Linked DNA regions of Rattus norvegicus. The protein of the gene in region 1 purifies or fractionates together with the protein of each later gene. This does not show direct contact. Links are inferred from orthologs where the notes say so. Each region holds a gene or a part of one and is shown in the gene's direction. Other genes may lie near its edges.

Region 1 (4,305 bases):
AGTTCACCACAGTAACCTAAAGTACAGCCTATAGTTTTGGTAAAGTGCCTCATTTCATTTAGAGATGAGGTCTGTGTTGCCAAACTGGTACTGAAATCATGATCTTAAGGCTCTTCCTGCCTTAGCCTCCCAAGTAGCTGGAATTACAGGCACTGCCGTAGTACAAACTGCTGAGCACAGTTTCCTCCCCAATCCAAACCAAAGCTTCCCAGAAGGAGAAGGCTATTTGTGGCATCTTCACGATAGCAAGAATGCTGAACAAAGGAATCAGTCACAGAACTTTCATTTCCTTGAGCAAGTATTTGAGAGAAAGAACTTAATGGAATATAAATAGCTATTTCTGCTCCTTTGATTTCCCATATTCTTGTGTAATTTAGAGTGATGGGTAATTCTGCCAGCCTGTCTTCCAGGTGGGAGTGTTGGGACAACACTGGTTCTTCCTTTAGACTCAGATTGATAATGTCAGGTTTGGGTGAGGTTATGGGGGTAGGAGGGGGGCAATTGCTGTTTCCCAATAGAAGAGACTTGAACTAAAACAATGAAGACTAATGGGGATGCCTGATGTGAGTCAGGTTTTATATGAGCCTAATCTCAAGTCCTTCTGCTGGCACTGGACCATTTTCTGTTGATCTCTCCTTTTCAGGACTTTGCACGTACATCATATCACTAAGCAGTGGCTCCTGCCGTAGCATTTTTTCCTGTCTTGATCACTACCGTCTTTTCCCCAGGGTAGAGTTCTTTTGTTTCATCTCTCACTATTCTCAACTTAGGATACTCCTTATTTTTCTTTTGAAATCTTGTGCACATCACACCACCGTTTGACAAACAGTTTTTGAATCCGGTTGTATCGTGCTGGAACTCATACAAATCACGTCTAGCTTGAATTATGACTCTGCTGGGGGTCTGATTTAGAAAGACCATATATAGAACACGTTCGATCCTCAATCATCTTGTAGCCCTGAACGACCTGGAGACGATTGCTCCATTTGCCAGACCATTCCAATCCAAACTCCCAGGTAGACGTTTCCGGAAGAGGAAGTAAGGTCAGAAGTAGCATTTCCAGAATGTTCTCTAGAGCCCACTTCTACCCAATCCAGAACAAACTTGTAAAGACAACTGTCCGTATGGCTCCCCCCATCCAAAAATTAAGATAGTCTTTTCCAGTAGAAGGGAAAATTATTTTATTTAATCTCAGGGACTCGGATTTGAAAATACGACTGTAGGCTGGGAAACAGCAAAGCCCGGCAGCCTCGCTGGTTGCTATGACAAGCAAATACAAGCCGGCCAATCAGCGTGCAGAAAGGTCTTCCAGTCTAGCCAATGGGATGCGCGCGCCCTGCGTGCGTCCACCCAATGGTGCGTGAGCGGCGCGGTATTTGAATCGCGGACCCAGGCCGTGGACGCAGAGCGGCAAGGCCCTGAGACTCCCAACGGTGTCGCGGATCGGAGTGGCAGTGCCTCGTCCGCACTTGCCAGAGCGGCCCTCATGGCGCTGCTCCGACGCCCGACGGTGAGTTCGCTGGGGCTACGGTGCCCTGCCCTGCCGGGTGGCCCGGAAAGCTACAGGCGAGGCGCTGGCAGAGCCAGAGCGGTCCAGAGGCCCGGCTTGGGGTCTCCATTCCTGTCACCGCTCAGGGCTGTGCTGCTCTGGGGATGAGGACCGGGAGGAACCGGGAAGCCGCCCCGTACCATTTCGCTGCTTTTCACACTTTTCAGTTTGCTTTGTTTGAGCTTCCCATTCCCGTCTCCATACTGCCTTCCTGGCCAAGTTTATTAAAGTGTGGGTTTGTCCTCTTCAAAAACAAATAACAAAATGAAAACAAAAACCCACCCAAGTGTAATAGGAAAATTACAAAACTTGAATCCTAGGATTGCAGACAGTGGGGCAAAAGGCCAAATTGATTTAATTATCTTTTTGAGAATGAAAGTATTACTGACTTTTAGGCTTTAATTGTACTTGGATCTACTTTACCTTAGTTGAAAACAAGAGGGCCCTGACACAGCTGCCTGCCATTGTCCTGGCTAGTTAAAAGCTGCCAATTTAAGGGTACTCATTACCAGGCCTCAACTCATAAGACATTGAACTTTCAAACACGTTTAGAATTTAGCAGTGGGGTGCTAGCAATAATGACTGAACAGCTTAGCCTTAGGGATCAGAATCCTAAACAATGATATACAGTCAGGGTTCTTGTAGATGTAACTGCCACTAACAAGTACTTTTGGTCTAACTGGTTCTTTTAAATTATTTAATAGTTAAGTCTTCTATAGAGACGGGGTGCATTTTTATCTGGTCTATCCTAACAGGTCATCTTAAAAAACAGTTTTGGGGAGGTGTTTGTTTGTTCGAAGGATTAGGGACCCCCTAACTCCCAGGAAGTTAAGTATTTTTCCTCATGAAATATTTGTTATTGTACCACACAGTAAACTTTGAAGTCTGAATAGCAAGTCGTGTTTCTTAACTGTATTCCAGATGAAGGCAGTTAAGATCAAGTAACGCTAGTTTTGTTTTGTTTTTTTTTTTCTTTTTCATACAAGTCTGACTCTCCCAATACTTGAGAGGTAAAATTATTTTACCCATCCTATTGTTGGTAAAAATATCCTTAATGTGAGTCTATGCTGTAAAAAGCTGTGTTTCTGAAGGTCTTCCCTTGTGGTGCTATGTCTTATTCTTTGGTTGACATTATAACCCAAGCTAGTGTTAAGTCTGAGACAAGCAGTTTTAAACAGCTGGACCATCATTAACTATTGGTATCAAAGCTCTTTATCCTTATAGATATACTGTGTGAATGGAAGTTTCCAATTGTCTTAACCCACAAGGATCACAACAGGTTACTTAGAAGAAGTAGTCATTTAGGTGGGAGATTTTGGTGTCTCTTAAAAACTGCTTGAATATGCAAAACAATTTACATGACCAGTAATAAGATTTTTGTTTTATAGGTTAGGCAGGTGGTGGTTTGCCAAATTGAGAGTGATATTTCAAATAGCATTTTTAGATTTCCTAAAATGTACCTTTTCCCTTAAAAATAATTAAATTTTAAAAACAACAAAAGCCCAATTCTGTAAGTTTGAGGCCAGCCTTATCTACAGAGTGAGTTCCAGGACAGCCAGGGCTTCAGAGAAACCCTGTCTCAAAAAACAAAACAAATTAAGCTTTTATTTTGAAGTACATAAATCAAGTACATCATGTGTGTACAGTACGTTCATGGGCCAGAAGAGGACGTCAGATCCCCTGGAACTGGAGCTACAGATGCTGTGTGGATACTGGGAATTGAACCCCAGTCCACAGCAGGAGAAGCCAATGCTCTTAACTGCTGAGAGCCATCTCTAGTCCCACCCTCCCCTTTTTAAATAGATTTCAGCATATTTACTTTCCTCAAAGTAGTTCTGAATTTGAGAACCTGACCTCATGTGGGTAGGTATTCTTCATTTTCTCTGTATTTAATGGTTTTTTTTTATTTGTTTGTTTGCTTGTTGTCGGTTGTGGTTTTTTTGTTTGTTTTGTTTTAAGGTGTCCAGTGATTTGAAGAATATTGACACAGGAGTTAATCCTAAAGCTAAGAGCCATGTGACTGTCCGGCGAGCTGTTTTAGAAGAAATTGGAAATAAAGTTAGAGCCAGACCGGCTCAAGTGGCTAAGGTAACAAGGGCAAGGTGACAAGTGTGGAGGGGCTACACTGGCCATCTTGCCCTGCTCACTCTGCTTCTCTCTTATAGAAACCTCAGAATACCAAAGTACCAGTCCAGCCCACCAAAGCAATAAATGCCAGCAAACAGCCGAAACCTACAGCTTCTGTGAAACCAGTGCAGATGGAGACACTGGCCCCGAAGGTGGGAGGCCCTGAACTTACAGCATTTAAATCCTTTAATTTTAATTTTATGTATATGGGTATTTTGCCTGCATATATATCTGGGTACTGCGTTTGAGTCTAGTGCCCTAATGGTGGGACTGTGGCGGGTGGAGAGAAGGCATCAGATCCCCTGTAACTGAAGTTATAGGTTGTTGTAAGCTGACACATGAATGCTGGCACCAACCTCGGTCCTCTGCAAGAGCAGCCAGTGAGTGCCCTTAACCTCTGAGTCATCTCCCCAGGCCCCCGCTTGGTGATGCTTCAATTCTACCTCCATTAATGGTGGTCTCTGTGACTGAGTAGCTCAGCTGGAGTTAGAGTCCTGAGCTAAGGGACTTGGTTACTTACCTGTTTTCCATAGGTTCAAGTGTATATGTGCTCTCCTACATAGTTACTATAAGATAGCCCCCCCATCTCTGTCTCTGTCTCTCTCTCCTTCCCCCACCCCATGTGTGTG
Region 2 (4,572 bases), on another chromosome or scaffold:
CTCCTCCTCCTCCTCCTCCTCCTCCTCCTCCTCCTCCTTCTTCTTCTTCTTCTTCAGATTTATTTATTTTATGTATAGGAGTACATTGTAGCTGTCTTTAGAACAGGGCTGTGAGCCGCCATGTGGTTGCTGGGAATTGAACTAGAGCCTCTGGAAGAACAGTCAGTGCTCTAAACTGCTGAGACATCTCTCCAGCCTGCCTTCCTTCTTCCTCCCCTCCCTCCCTCTCTCCCTCTTCTCTTTCTCTTCCTCCTCCTCCTCTTCCTCCTCCTTCTTCTAAAGGGCCTGGAACTTCTGATATCTATTATGGTAGCCTCAAACTAAAAAAATTCTCCTGCCTTAGCCTCCCGTTCCTCAGTGCTGGGGTTACAGAGCTATATACCACTATACCCAACTTTTACTTATCGTTTATTTGATTGATTTTAAGATAGGGGTCTTGTTATAGTGCCCAACTGGCCTCCAGTTCCTGGGCTCATGTGTTCTTTCTGCCTCGGCTGCCTCCGTGCTTGGGGTATAGGCATGTACCATTGCAGTATTTTTAGTTATTGTGTTTGTTTGTTTATTTGTTTGTTTTAATCATTATGAATTAGACTTTGAGGAATGAATAGTTAGAAGTGGGCAGGGCCTGTCCAGAAAATGGGGCCGGCAGAAAGTAGTTCTAAATAGTTGGAGAGGGACCTGCCTGGGGTCCTCAACAGGGACTAACCCAAGTCACAAGGTTCTGGCTCTCGGAGACGCTAATGCAAAGGGAAGGGCTTGGAAGTGTGCTGCTCTTGATCTTGGGTCTAGGTAGGGCCTGGCCTTCCTTCCTAAGAGATTGCCAGAACATTTTAGGGAGACTGGCTGTAAAGCATGATACCTCACTTCTACATGAAATCGATAAAGGTCCCTTTCCTGCAGAAGCAAGCTCCATCCCACGTTTGCTCACGCAGGCCTTCTGCAGAAATCATCTTAGGTTCCTTGGCTCCACGTCTCGAAGAGAGGTGACAATCTCAAGCTTGGGAATGCCCAGCATATACCGGCAGTTATGAGGGCAGGAAGAGACTGAGAGGGGTCTGAGTTGAACACTAAGTTCAGAACTAAAGGATGTAAACTGCCTCAGAAGTAACTGAAGTAAGGAGACTCCACCTTAGACGAGGCACTCTCAATCGCGATCCTGTGGTGAAGAGAACAGGTATCTGAATGTGCAGAAGATCATGCGTAACGGACATTTGATTGAGCTGCCCCAGTGGCAACTTCCTGAGGAAATGCCCCTTTTATGGATATGAATATTAAGGCAGCCAATGGAGAGCAGCGGGTAGGAGGACCATAGTTTGAAGGCCGACAAATGTCCGGAGGACACCGACGGGTCAAGGATCATTCCCACCTGGTCTCTAGGACTAAGAATTTAGCTACCTAGTCGGCAATAGTCCCCGAAGAGGTGCGCCTGCGCAGGGAGAGCGCTTGGCCAAACCTCGGGGGCGGGGAGACCTCGGTGCGCACGCAGGACGCGAGGCGGAGCCAGTGCCCCGGGCGCCTGACCGGCTGTACCAGGAGGGGGCGGGGCCACAGACGAGCCTGGGCGGGGCCTCGAGGCCGGTTTGGAATTTTTGGCGCGAGCTGGCTCCGCGCGCGTTCACGGGCCGTTCCCCTTCTTGGAGGGTGCTTCGTCCTGGTGTCCAAAGGCCCCGCTGCCCGATCCCGGCCTGCCTGGCTTCTGCGAGGTCCCCAGCGGCCTCCGCCGACCCGGAACCTGGGACCTCGCTGCTGCGCCGCGCTGCGCCCCGCCCAGCCTCCCCAGGTGAGCCCATACCCGAGTGAGATCTCCCGGCCGCGCCGCTCTTCTGCCCGGCGCCCTGGCCCGCGCTCCTGCTGCACTGCGCCCCGTGACGGACCCCCAGCCTCCCCTCAGTGTCCGGTCGCACCCCTGCAGCAGCCCCACCCCTCCCTGTTTGTCACGGGCTCGGCTAGCCCTCAGATGACGCCAGGTCAGCGCTGTCGTCCACGCCCCGCCTACTTCCCCCGGGCCCTCTGTCCCTTCCCACTGGGTCTGCCCCTCTCCCCCCCACCCCCCGCCACTCTCTGGGAAGAGCCCCTTGACCTAGTGACAGCCTGTCTACGCAATTGTTTGTCAGAGTTCCCCAGCCCACTGAGCGAATTTAGCAGCGGCCCTGCACGAGAGGAACTCAGTCTAAGCTAGGTGGTGGTCATCAGATGTGTCCACAGCTCAGTAAGGGTGAGGCCCCTGGAAACCTCGGAGGTCTCCTGGCTGACTGGTGGCTCAGGACCACTCTGGACTCAGCCAGGACTCCACTACCAACCCTTTTCACCCCATAAAGGCTGTTTGACCAGGCCAGAGGTATTATAATGTAAATGACCAGTGACTTTGAAACGAAGATGACATTAAGAGGAGAGAGCCTTTCTGGCTGAAGACAGAAGGTGATGGACTCCTAGGTGCTAGGCATGGAGTCTGTATTCCTTCTTCCTTTAAAAAAAAAGTCTTCTTGTTATTTTTTTTAACATATGGGTATTTTTGTCTGTATGTGTGTTTGAGCACTACGTTTGTGCCTAGTGCCACATAAGTCAGAAAAGGGTGTCAGAACCTCTTGGAATTGGAGTTGCAGATGCTTATGATGTCAGTGTGTCAGAGAAACAAACCTGGTCCTTTGGAAGGGCAGCAAGTACTCTTACCACCCACCCCCCTTAAGGTTGTCCCTTCACAGTTGTAGGTTTAATTAATCAGCATTATCATGGATCGTGACAGTCTAATTCCTTCAAGAAGACCTGGGATGGGATTTGTGTTTGTTATCTGGGGGTGAGGGGGCATCAAACCCAGGACCCTGATTGTGCTAGGCAGGTACTCTTATCACTAAGCTAAAGGCCACCTCTGAGATGGGATTCTTGAAGTAAATAGAGCCATAACAAGAGAGCCTTCCAGCCAAGCCTCTTAATTTAAGTACCTAACCTAAGTAGTAATTTGATCTACCCAGCACCAGAGGCTAGGTGTGGCATCTTTTGATACATTGTGGCTTCCCCAAAAATGGACTCTTTCTGTTGCTTTCTTACCTTTGTTTCAATTACAACATTGTAGCAACCTTCTGCCCCTTCTGTCCCCCGGGCACACAGTTAGTTAACTGACACGGTTACACTACTATACTTGAGTCATTTCAACTACTATCTAAAGCACTGATTAAGACAGCAGTTAGCATTCATGCTAGACACCAGTCTTAAGTCCTTCAACGTTCTGTATGTCCGTGCAGAGCAGATTTAGGGCCTGGAGTTAGATTAATAAGTTAGTTGGTTTAGCATTTGCCTAACATGAATCATGCCCTAAGTTCAATATATAGCCCCACATGTAGTGGGACATGGCTATGATCCTAGCTCCATAGAGATGGTGTCAGGAGGATCAAAACATCACAGTTTTCCTTGACTGCACAGCCAGAGAGCTTGAAGACAACCTACACTAGAGAACCTGTCTCAAAACACAAAACAAAACAAAAATAAATCTCAGATTTAGAAAGCGCAGATGAAAGCCTGAGGTGTAGTCCTGCTAGAATGCTTTCCTGGCATGTTAGCCCCTTGGTTTGACCCATAGTGACTAATAGCTTTTAAATAACAGTTTGATCCATAAATGAATAAACATCCTAAGAAAGCATATATATATATATATATGTATATATGCTTTATATAATATATATGCATATGCTTTTTATATATAATGTATTATAATGTATATGTGCATATATATATATATATATATATATATATATATATATATATCCCCACCCCTGGTGAATCTGGGGCATCCATTCCAAGATCAAACACTAATATTTCTGTCCTTGAATGTCAGCTAATGGTGCTAGCTCATGCTTGTAATTCTAGCACTCAGAAGGCTGAGACAGGATGATTGCTTCAAGTTCAAGATCAGTCCAGACTACATAGACTTTTCTCAAAACAAAACTATAAATTTCTGGGTGAGAAAACTAGATAAAGTTGATTTTTTTTTCCCCTGAAGTAAATTTTTTTTTTATGTAGCTACCCAGTTGTTGAGAAGATTCTGCTTTCCTGTTGGATTGTTCGGCATCCTTTTTGAAATAAGCATTTCCAGCTCTCTGGAGGTTGAGGCAGGAGGCTGCTCAAAGCCAGCTTGAACTACATAACGAGTCCTGTCTTGAGGGGGAAAAAACACAAAACAAAAAAAAAAAATTTTAAGACAGGGTCACTCCGTGTAGACCTGGCTGTCTTAAAACTTGCTTTATGGGCTGGAGAGATGGCTCAGCGGTTAAGAGCACCCGACTGCTCTTCCAGAGGTCATGAGTTCAATTCCCAGCAACCACATGGTGGCTCACAACCATCTGTAAAGAGATCCGATGCCCTCTTCTGGTGTGTCTGAAGACAGCTACAGTGTACTTATATATAATAAATAAATAAATCTTTAAAAAAAAAAAAAAAAACAAACTTGCTTTATAGACTAGACTGGCCTTGAACTCACAGATCAGCCTGCTTTAGCCTCCCAAGTGCTGGGGTTAAAGGTGTGTGCCACTGTGCTCAGCTTCAAAGAAAAAATGATTTAACCACAAGTTTTAGAACCCT

What was found.
Region 2: the proteins of Ccnb2 (region 1) and Pkmyt1 purify together in Homo sapiens (affinity purification with mass spectrometry; 4 studies listed by BioGRID and IntAct, with this or other methods). This does not show direct contact. The link is inferred for Rattus norvegicus from reciprocal best matches to the Homo sapiens genes CCNB2 and PKMYT1.

Annotation. Positions count from the first base shown.
Region 1 is NC_086026.1:79,978,772-79,983,076, reverse strand, and holds the start of Ccnb2 (G2/mitotic-specific cyclin-B2), read left to right. Parts: upstream 1-1,418; 5' UTR 1,419-1,486; coding exon 1,487-1,510; intron 1,511-3,508; coding exon 3,509-3,637; intron 3,638-3,714; coding exon 3,715-3,828; intron 3,829-4,305. UniProt on the Homo sapiens protein: Essential for the control of the cell cycle at the G2/M (mitosis) transition.
Region 2 is NC_086028.1:13,251,267-13,255,838, forward strand, and holds the start of Pkmyt1 (membrane-associated tyrosine- and threonine-specific cdc2-inhibitory kinase), read left to right. Parts: upstream 1-1,559; 5' UTR 1,560-1,780; intron 1,781-1,792; exon of another isoform or gene 1,793-1,934; intron 1,935-4,572. UniProt on the Homo sapiens protein: Acts as a negative regulator of entry into mitosis (G2 to M transition) by phosphorylation of the CDK1 kinase specifically when CDK1 is complexed to cyclins. Mediates phosphorylation of CDK1 predominantly on 'Thr-14'. Also involved in Golgi fragmentation.